3 linked regions of the Macaca mulatta genome follow. The protein of the gene in region 3 binds, or shares a complex with, the protein of the main gene of each other region. Links are inferred from orthologs where the notes say so. Each region holds a gene or a part of one and is shown on either strand. Other genes may lie near its edges.

Region 1 (3,656 bases), on a different chromosome or scaffold from region 3:
GTGAAGAACATTATTGATAAAGCCTCTCGCAACCTCAAATCCAGTGTTTTGGGAGAATTTGGAACTATTCCACTTGTGTTATGTGCAGATCTTAATTCTTTGCCAGACTCTGGTAAGAAAATAATGTGATTTTATGTAGAATATTTTTTGACATAAAATGATTTAGTAATGTTTTGTTTCTGATCATTCCAAATTAAGTCCAAATAAAAATTCAGTTTGTAATGGCAGCTATGAGCAGGTTTTAAACGTCACGTTGGGGTGGAGGGGCCATTTTGAAGATGAAACGATATTGTGGAAGCTTGAGGAGAAGGATGTTAATCATTTTGAATAAACACATAACCAATAACGTGAAATAACTCTTTAAAGAACGTATGTAGTTCCGTTTTATTACCCCCAAGTCAGAGATAATTATGGTATTGAGACAACCCCTTTGGGATTCCAGCATCTGGTAATATAATCATAGTTTAAATTTGAGTTAAAATTAGGGAATCTCAATTTTGCACGTATTTGTAACTTGATTAGAAAAATACACCTCAAGTAGAAATTGAGCTCCTTTATTTACACACACATCAGTCAAGCGATTTTAACAAAGAGCAAGGATCTTGATTATTAAAATGTAGAATACAGAAAGCCTGATCTGGAATGCTCTTTCCATAGATAGTATGCAATAAACAATAGCCCTTGTAATAACAAACTGTTTCTTCCTTTTCGTGTTTCCACTCATTTGTACACACAGGAATACTTCTCCTTGGACTTGAGTGTATGCGTGAACACACACACATGCGCATTGGGAAACACATTATTGACATCACAATAGATAGAGCCATTAGGAAGAAAGAAAACCCCAGCACGTTGGGGAGCCGAGGTGGGCGGATCACTTGAGGCCAGCAGTTCGAGACCAGGCTGGCCAACATGGTGAAACCCCGTCTCTGCTGGAAATACAAAAATTAGGCAGGCGTGGTGGTGCAGGCCTGTAATCCCAGCTACCCGAAGGTTGAGGCACAAGAATGACTGGAACCCCGGAGGCAGAAGTTGCAGTGAGCCAAGATTGTCCCACTGCACTCCAGCCTGGGTGACAGTGAGACTATCTCCAAAAAAAAAGAAGAAAAGAAAGAAAGAAACTGAGTTAAAATTCGATTTCAGGCCGGGCGCGGTGGCTCACGCCTGTAATCTCAGCACTTTGGGAGGCCGAGACGGGCGGATCACGAGGTCAGAAGATCGAGACCATCCTGGCTAACACAGTGAAACCCCGTCTCTACTAAAAATTCAAAAAATTAGCCAGGCGTGGTGGCGGGCGCCTGTAGTCCCAGCTGCTCGGGAGGCTGAGGCAGGAGAATGGCATGAACCTGGGAGGCGGAGCTTGCAGTGAGCCAAGATCACGCCACTGCACTCCAGCCTGGGAGACAGAGCGAGACTCCGTTTCAAAAAAAAAAAAAAATCGATTTCAGGGAAAATCAAAGCTATCTAAAATCTGTAATTATTTCATTTCATCAGGTTGTCTGGAGATTACTGCTGCTGAAGCAGTTGAGTAGTAGTCTCTGACAATTTCTCTACATGCTTTCTACTTTCTGTGTAGCTACAAAGTATCTGAGGGGTAAAGAGAAAATCTAGTCACACATTAATACCCAAGACCCATTTCAGCATTGAGAAATACGATATTGTAATAGCAGGCAGGTCAGAAAATGTCCAGCCTTGCTAATTTGTGAATAAAATGCAAATGAAAGTTTATTTTCAGAGCCCATCTATGCTTAGTAAATTGGGAAAATACTTGACTAGGGATGTGGACGCTTGCTCTGTAACTAGCTGGTGGTATTCTGTTCCATAGCTGGCAGTATCGTAAAATGGCACATTCAGTCCTAATCTTGGGATTTTATACCAAGTAAATAATTGAGCATAAGCAGGAAGTCTGCATACTAAGATGTTGATTGTGGTGTTATCTTTAATTCTTTGTAAAAAGTGGAAACTACCTGCATTTTACAAAATAAGTAACCATAAATATTATCCACCAGCCCAGTTGCATTGTGCATTAAAGAATGATAATTGGGAAGACACATGTTCATAAAGCAAAGTATAAACTATTCAGTATTCTGTGATTACAGCTGTGTAAAAATAGATTTGGACAAGTCCTGGCAAATGTAAAAGGAAACATTTTGGAACATGGGAGTATGTAGTTTAAAACTTTTTACTATTGCATGATCTTTTAAAATTACTTTTTGTTTATATTATATTTGACAGTAAAAAAAATTGTCTTCATTGTAGGTGTTGTAGAATATTTGAGCACGGGTGGAGTAGAAACAAATCACAAAGACTTTAAGGAGTTGAGGTATAATGAAAGTCTTACCAACTTCAGCTGTCACGGGAAGAATGGAACCACCAATGGAAGGATCACTCATGGTTTCAAGTTAAAGAGTGCCTATGAGAGTGGCCTGATGCCTTACACAAATTACACGTTTGATTTCAAGGTGTGTCTTGAGACTGATAAGTTTTTCAAACCTCTATTTTACTGGCAAGTCTGCTGATGCATCATTATGTCTTTAAAAATGTGGATGTGTGTTCAGACTGGAATGAAGCAATCTTGAATTGATTGACAGCAATATTCTTTGTTTTTGGTTTGAGACAAGGTCTCACTCTGTTACCCAGGCTGGAGTGCAGTGGTACAATGATGGCTCACTGCAGCTTCAACCATGTGGGCTCCAATGATCCTCTCACCTCGGCCTCACCAGTAGCTGGGACTACAGGCGCCTACTACCATGCCTGGCTAATTCTTGTGTTTTTTGTAGAGATGGGGGTCTCACTATGCCCAGGCTGGTCTTGAACTCCTGGCCTGAAATGATTCTTGCACGTCAGCCTCCCAGCGTGCCGGGATTACAGGCGTGAACCACTGTGCTCAGCCAGTAATATTCTTTTATTACCTTCTTTAGAAGTCCACGTGATTGCTGTTATATCCTTACTTTGTAGATATTTATTCTAATATTTTTCAGGATAAGAAGTCAGATGAAATAATCTGTAAAATTCCTGAGTTGACTTTTTCACCTTTTGGGGACAATTATGTTTTTGGTTTTTTTGAGACGGAGTCTTGCTCTGTCGCCCAGGCTGGAGTGCAGTGGCCGGATCTCGGCTTACTGCAAGCTCCGCCTCCCGGGTTCACGCCATTCTCCTGCCTCAGCCTCCCGAGTAGCTGGAACTACGGGCGCCTGCCACCTCGCCCGGCTACTTTTTTGTATTTTTTAGTAGAGACGGGATTTCACCGTGTTAGCCAGGATGGTCTCGATCTCCTGACCTCGTGATCCGCCCGTCTCGACCGCCCAAAGTGCTGGGATTACAGGCGTGAGCCACCGCGCCCGGCCGCAATTATGTTTCTTATATTCTCCTTACTAATAGCTAGATATACAGCACCATAGTAACTAATTTGGGTGACATTTGGGGTAAGACGTTCCGTCTCTTAACATTTTAATTGAAACTAAACTCTTGCATGCCAAAATGTGGTTTATGTTAGCCATTTATAAGTGTTTCTAAGATACATCTTTTTTTACCCCCCAGAGAATCTTACCCTGTTGCCCAGGCTGGAGTGCAGTGGCACGATCTCAGCTCAGTGCAACCTCCACCCAGGTTCAAGTGATTATTATACCTCAGCCTCCCAAGTAGCTGAGATTACA
Region 2 (3,656 bases), on a different chromosome or scaffold from region 3:
GTAAGATTCTACTATAGATGCCTGAAATGCCAGAAAGTCAAAGAGAGGTACAATAGCAGAGTCACAGGTACACAGAGTGATCAGAAAACTAGCACTGGAAAAGAGATTACATAAAGCCACCACAATCTGTCTTTCTAAAGAAGAGCTGGTCCTGTACAATCGGCCTTTCCATTTTTTTGTGTGTATTTGTCAAAAAATGTCTTTTTCTTTCAGAGTGTTCCACTGCCTAGGAATATATTAGTACAAATACATGGATATAAAATAGAACCAAAGTACAACCTTCTCTAACCCCATTCCCAAAAGAAACCTGAAAATTTAAAGATACTAAGACATCAATGGAAGGTAGAAAGAAAATCTTGAGAAAATACTACATAAATTCATTCAAAGTGAGTTTTGCTATATTCAGTGCTTTTCTGTCGGGGGCAGGAGGGAGGTTACTGCTGAAAGTTAGGGATGGTTTGAGCAGGTGAGGGTTAACTATATTGATATATACAAAGTGCTTTGACAAGTGCCTCGTACCTAGTGAGCATTTCAAAGTTTTTGTTATTATATTATTTAAAATCTAAACAAACGAGAGAGCAAGAAGAATTTAAGACAATAGCCATAAAACCCAATGAACCTACTTATATCTAGGTGCATACTTAGCCTAGACATTTTAAGAATCTAAAAATTCCTGAAGATTATACAATTAATCATAAAGAATTTACACCTTTTTGTTACATGCTTGTATCTGAAATAATTTCTACACCTGCCCAAAGGCTGCCACTCACTTTGAAATCAAAGGTGTAATTGGTGTAAGGCATCAAGTTATTTTCATAGGCGCTCTTAAGTTGGAAGCCATGTGTGATTCTCCCTTCTGAGCTTCCATTCTTTCCATTGCAGCTGAAGTTCATAAGACACTCATTGTACCTTAGTTCCTTGAAGTCTTTATGGTTGTCAGCTACTCCTCCATTGCTTAAGTATTCCACAACACCTGGTAGAATAAAGAAAAAAGAGACACTCCCATTTAGCATTCAGACCTTACACAAGGCTTCACAGCCAAGACTTGTTACCAGGTTAATCCACCAGGCTCAGAATGGTTTTCTTAGATTGAACCATATAAAACTGCCTTTTGTCATTATTTAAAAATAAAAAATCAAATACCAGCCATTTCATACGATTCAATCAATTGAATCAAAGGATGTTTGCCTATTTCAGAACAAAATATATCAGGAACACTCAAAGATATCCTTAGTTTTCTTGGTGGTTCTTCAGGCCAAAAATTTCCAGGACCTAGGATGGCATTCACCAGGAAGGCATTAACCCTAAATGTTTTCGGAAAATTATTCCAAACCACTATCTTTTTAGCATTTTCCCATTCTAAGCAACAACTCTGCAAATATATAAGTAGAACATATTAATAAAAAACGTTTACAACAAAAACAGATTTTGCATCTTTAACATTTCAATGTCTAGTGTCAGCTAGACAGTATCATTCTTTATTTTGAGCTACAGTGAGTTTTCTCAGTCTGACACTATAAAGAATATTATATGGCAGAAATATACCACTTGGCTAAAAATACAAGGCTGAAGAGAAGAATAGCATTCAGAAAAGTGCACTGCTTCCACTGAATTAGCAAACATGAAAACAGTATCAAAACCCTTATGATTAGTGCATTATTAGAGTCATCCTTCTATTTGTAATAAGGATTGATAGTAAGATATAATGAATGTGTGATAAGCACAATTATCAGTATTGTAAATAGCTCAGAAGGCACTATTATTTACCTAGTATTTGCTACATGCCAGGCACTGTTCTAAGTGCTTTATTCATGTAAATCTCACAAACAATTCTATGAAGTAGATAACATGATTCTCCCCTTGTTAAAAATGAAGAACTAGGCTGGGTGCGGTGGCTCACGCCTGTAAACTCCCAACACTTTCAGAGGCCGAGGTGGGCGGATCATCTGAGGTCAGGAGTTCGAGACCAGCCTGGCCAACATGGTTAAAGCCTATCTCTACTAAAAATACAAAAATTAGCTGGGCGTGGTGGCATGCATCAGTAATCCCAGCTACTGGGAGGCTGAGGCAGGAGAATCGCTTGAACCCAGGAGGCAGAGGTCGCAGTGAGTCGAGACTGCACCATTGCACTCCAACCTAGGCAACAAGAGCGCAACTCTGTCTCAAAACAAAAAAATAAAAGGAAAAATGAGGAACTTAGTCACAGATTGCATAGTTCATAAGTAGCAGAATCAGGATCCAACCATGACAGTCTGGCACCAAAGACATTTCACTACGTTGTATTGCCAAATGCCAGCTAACTGGCTTTAACAAATCAAATACAATGGGAGAAAAACTTGCACTTGAGAGTAATTCAACTTAAGAAAGGATTAAGAAAGGAGCATGTGGTTAAAGTGCCAATCAGGCTAGGGGTTAAAGACAGATATTTATTAACAATGATTTCAGCATTATTTGCTAAGAAGAAAAAGATGTTTTCACGTTCAGTGACTTTTTTAATATTCCAAATGGAGGCATTTAGGTTATCTTATAGTAACCTTATTGTTACTTACTTAAATAACTTAAAATAGCCTAGTAGTGATAATATACAAAAGTTAACATATGCTTTGGTATTAGCAAAAGAGTAATAGTTTAATGTTTTCTATTTGATACCTAAAATGCAGAAACTATTTTTATAAAAAGTAAAATGATATAAGTTCAGACATAAAGTAGTTTAGAGGAGCTCAAGAAGTAATATGAAGTCCTACGATAATTTTAATCATTCTTCTGTACCTACTAACAGTATCCAAATATCACTTAATGAATTCACTTAAAAGTTGCTAACATTATTAAACTAGATAGCTACCTGTAATGAATATTTTCTGGCTGCCCCTTCAGATCACCCTTCTGCAGTACACTCTGTGCCTCAGGAAGCTGATCTTTATTGCATCAACTGCAAATCCCTCCCCCCTCTAGCTTCTGGTTGGATTTGATCAATGGGCAGCCTGGCAGGAGATCAGAGGACAGAAGCAGAGTGAGGTAAGAATATATATTACCCTGGTACCCTTCTTGTTGGTTTGCCAGGGATTGACTGCTTCATGCAATTCAAAGCCATCACTCCTATTATGTGGCCCTTTCCTACAACTGTATTTTTTCCAAGTTCTGATGACAGACAGCTCCCACTACTTTCCCTTTTAGGTACAGGAGTGGTAAAGAGATCTATTACTAAATCCCCTAGGGGCAGAGTACTGCATCATTTATTGCTTTGTTTCCCTTAAACCAGCCAACACCTTTGGAAATAGCTTCTTTATTAAACTCTTTTCTATTACCCTGTGTCCCATCCATGGGATTCTTACTGATACATTCCCTAATTTAGAAGAGAAATTATCTATTCAAAATTTAGGAGCTAGCTGGCCTCTGAACCCAAGAGTAAAAGTGAAATTGAAAGCAGTGAGGAAATGATGTTATAAATACCTGAATCTGGCAATGAGTTAAGATCTGCACATAGCACCAGCGGGATGGAATTAGGATCTGCAGTTGGGCTGCCAGGCCTACTAGAGGCTTTCTCCAGAATGTTTTTAACCTCTGAGACAAACATCATGGTCTGGATAAGCTTCACATCAGAATACTCTGGGTCCCAATGCATGTGGGCATTTGCCACTATAAGCAGCTGTTTGTCT
Region 3 (3,656 bases):
GTTTTATCTTGATATCTGTAATAATCTAACTTCTGAAGAATGTGGAAAAGCTTTATAACTTAGAAGATAGCCTATTTTTTTCCTATTTCATATAGGTTTGCAAATTTCTGTTGAACTTCTCAGAGTTAATTTAGACTTTTATTGTAGTCCCTGTCAGCTGGATCCCATGAAGTTTGATAATATAGCCTTCTAAGGAGCTGTGTTTTTCTTGAGTAAGTTTTCTCCTTGAAGAATTTATACACATTTTTATACCTGTGTTGATTCAGCCAACTCAGCTTCTTCTTTCTGACTTAACAAATATGTTTATTTCTTCCACATTTCACTGAAAATAGCTTTTCTGTGTGTGTGATGGGAGTTTATATATTATTAAAATAATTGATAAAGAAGATTGGTAAGAATTAGAATAAGTACAAAGTTTTAAAGCTTATATGTTCTAACTTATCTTCGAGGTAGCTTTGGTGATTTTAGGTAATATACTGTATTTAGTTTCTCTTTTACATGAAAGCATTGAGGAGTGTAACTTCAAGTGTATCCCAAAGCATAAAGACCTGAGAAAGAGATAGATTTTTTTTTTCTGTGACTGAAGATCTGAGATAAATAAGAATATTTTCCCTTGATTTCTTTTTCTTTAAATACTCAAATGTGGATGATATAGGATTTATTTGTATACCATGGAACAATGATGGAAACAATTTTCTATAGAACTTGAAAAACAGGTAATAATTTACTACCAATTTAAATATAATAAAGAATGAATAGCAAGGTATTAATATGTGAACTTTTTTGTATACTTAACAAATTTTAATGTCACATTTAATTTTTTTCATGCTAGAATTTGAATACATCTGGCAAGACAACTTCAAGTACAGATGGACCCAAATTCCCTGGAGATAAAAGTTCAACAACACAAAATAATAACCAGCAGAAAAAAGGGATCCAGGTGTTACCTGATGGTGGGACTCTAGAAATCTATGTCAAAGATGTTATAGAATGCTTTTTTTTTTTTTTTTTAACTTTTCCTTGAAAATAAAAGCAACTGTGTTTTTTCTACCCAGGTCGGGTTACTAACATTCCTCAAGGGATGGTGACGGACCAATTTGGAATGATTGGCCTGTTAACATTTATCAGGGCAGCAGAGACAGACCCAGGAATGGTACATCTTGCATTAGGAAGTGACTTAACAACATTAGGCCTCAATCTGAACTCTCCTGAGTAAGTTTTTTCTGTTTTTCCATGTCTGTATATAATACCTCTTCAGACTTCCAGTTTTTAATATCATGTCATCAAATTGTCTCACCTACTGCTACTCATTGTAATCTGTTTTTTCTCTGGGTCATTCGCTTGCATATTAGCTCTTAGATCACTGGCACTCTGCAGTATTCCTTTTATAATTTGGCATTTTATATGTCTGTGTGCATGTGTGTGCATGTGCAAGTATGTATATGTGTGTGTGTATGTATGTGTATATATATACACACACCTTCCACAATCCTGAAATCTCAGCTCCTTGAATTTCTTTCCTCCAGGAATTTTTGTCCTGTAGTATACTTCAGCCACTCCTTTAGTTATCCCTTTGACCTAGTCATTGTTAGTAACTGCAGTCTCTCAATTTTAAAATCTGTGCTCACATGCTTTCCGATTTCCACTTTCTATTTTCTAGTTATCTTCTTCTGGTACTGTAATTCCTGTAATCATTTCACTCCACCGGGGCCTTCAATCTATTGATTCTTCTGTGTTTTAACTGTTCTTCCATATCCCTGTCTCTCTTCCTCTGTAATCAACTCCCTTCTTACCCATGAAATTCTGTGGTCAGTCGTAATTGTTCATTTACATATCCCGTGACTACTTTGCCGTTTTCTCATGTTGTTATACTTGCATGGCCAAAGCTACAGTACTGGTTGTTTCTGCCTATTTCATTCCTGACCTGTGCTACTGAGCCCTGCTAGAGAAAAACACATGGTATCACTGCCTGGGCTTCCTTTATTTTCGTACCCAGGAACCTCAAAAGTAGGCTCTTAATTCTACCAGGGATAATTATACCTTGCATGCTTAGTCCATTTACTCTTTTCTCTCTTACGCAATTACATACACTTCTGCACACCCCTAATACCTTTTCTCCTTGTTCTTACTATCAAATGATGACCTTGCTTTTTACTTTTACTGTCCTAAGAAAGTTGGAAGCAATTAGAAGAGCACATTTAGCACAATCTAGCCACCAAATCTGACTACCTACAGCCATCTACATCTACGTTATTCTTGTCTTCCACCCTATTACTGCAATTGACCCATGCGTTCTACTTAACAACAGATTTTCACACTTTGTTGGGTCATTTTCATCAACATAGAAATACATTGTTACTTCTCTCATCTTAAAATCTTCCTTTGATCCAATCTCCTCTGTAAGTTACTTTCCCATTTCTTTATTTCCCTTTGAAGCAAAACTTTTCAAAGAATCATCTCAATTCCTCCAACTTGGTCTTCTCCATTCTCTGGTAAGCCCATTTCAGTCAGGATTTTGTCCCTGCCACTTCACTAAAGCTGCTTTTATTCAGGTCACCAAATGACCTCTATGTTATTAAATTCAGTGATCACTTGGAGGAACTCTTGCTCCTTAATACACATTCTCATCCTTGAATTTGAGAGCACCATTTTTTACATCATCCTCACTGGTTGGTCTTTTTCAATTTCCTTTGCTGGTACCTCCTCCTTTTCTTCTTGACCTCTTTGTGTCATTCCTCTTCTCTGCATTTATATCCTTGATGATCTTTTCTAGTCTTATTGTTTTAAATACCATATATATTAAGGAATCCCAAACATATGTTTCCATTCCATACTTCTGAGTGTGAGATTTCTACATTCAATTGCTAATTAAATATTTCTTGAATTATCACCCCCCAACTTACTCTGTCTACAGCCTTTCCAATCTCAGTCAGTGGTAACTCTGTACTTCCAGAAGCTTGACATTATTCTTAACTCCTCTTTCTTTTATACCCCATAATCAGGCTTTTGCCAAAATATATACAGAATCTGACCAAAGTTCACTACTTTTTAACTGCTACCACCCTTGTTTGAATCATTCTCTCTTGCCTGAATACTCCATTAGCCAGTCCCTGGGGGTCCCTGATTGTCCTTATCCCCCTTCTCATACAATCTCTTCATATAACAGCCAAGAGAGTCCTTTTTAAATAAATTACTCCTCTGCTCAACACCCAGAAAGAGTTTGTGGTTTCATTATGATTAAAAACCCCAAATCTTTTTTTTTTTTTTTTTTGAGACAGGGTCTTGCTCTTGTTGCCCAGGCTGGAGTGCAGTGATTCTATCTTGGCTTACTACAACCTCTGCCTCCCAGGTCCAAGCGATTCTCCTGCCTCAGCCTCCTGAGTAGCTGGGATTACAGGCATGTGCCACCATGCCCAGTTAATTTCTGTATTTTTAGTAGAGACAGGGTTTCACCATGTTGGCTAGGCTGGTCTCAAATTCCTCACTTCAAGTGATCTGCCCACCTTGGCCTTCCAAAGTGTTGGAATTACAGGTGTGAGCCACTGCACCTGACCAGAAACCCCAAATCTTTACAGGCCTACAAGGTCTTACATGATTGTTGTTTGTCCCCTAACCCCACCTCAACAGCTTTTCCCTTTGTTCACTGTATTCCAGCT

Evidence for each region.
Region 1: CNOT2 (region 3) and CNOT6 share a complex: the UniProt entries of both Homo sapiens proteins name them as parts of the CCR4-NOT complex. The link is inferred for Macaca mulatta from reciprocal best matches to the Homo sapiens genes CNOT2 and CNOT6.
Region 2: CNOT2 (region 3) and CNOT6L share a complex: the UniProt entries of both Homo sapiens proteins name them as parts of the CCR4-NOT complex. The link is inferred for Macaca mulatta from reciprocal best matches to the Homo sapiens genes CNOT2 and CNOT6L.

What each region holds. Positions count from the first base shown.
Region 1 is NC_133411.1:189,587,556-189,591,211, forward strand, and holds part of CNOT6 (CCR4-NOT transcription complex subunit 6), read left to right. Parts: coding exon 1-112; intron 113-2,259; coding exon 2,260-2,462; intron 2,463-3,656. UniProt on the Homo sapiens protein: Poly(A) nuclease with 3'-5' RNase activity.
Region 2 is NC_133410.1:56,072,917-56,076,572, reverse strand, and holds part of CNOT6L (CCR4-NOT transcription complex subunit 6-like), read right to left. Parts: coding exon 3,451-3,656; intron 974-3,450; coding exon 771-973; intron 1-770. UniProt on the Homo sapiens protein: Has 3'-5' poly(A) exoribonuclease activity for synthetic poly(A) RNA substrate.
Region 3 is NC_133416.1:77,415,063-77,418,718, forward strand, and holds part of CNOT2 (CCR4-NOT transcription complex subunit 2), read left to right. Parts: intron 1-832; coding exon 833-953; intron 954-1,055; coding exon 1,056-1,212; intron 1,213-3,656. UniProt on the Homo sapiens protein: Component of the CCR4-NOT complex which is one of the major cellular mRNA deadenylases and is linked to various cellular processes including bulk mRNA degradation, miRNA-mediated repression, translational repression during translational initiation and general transcription regulation.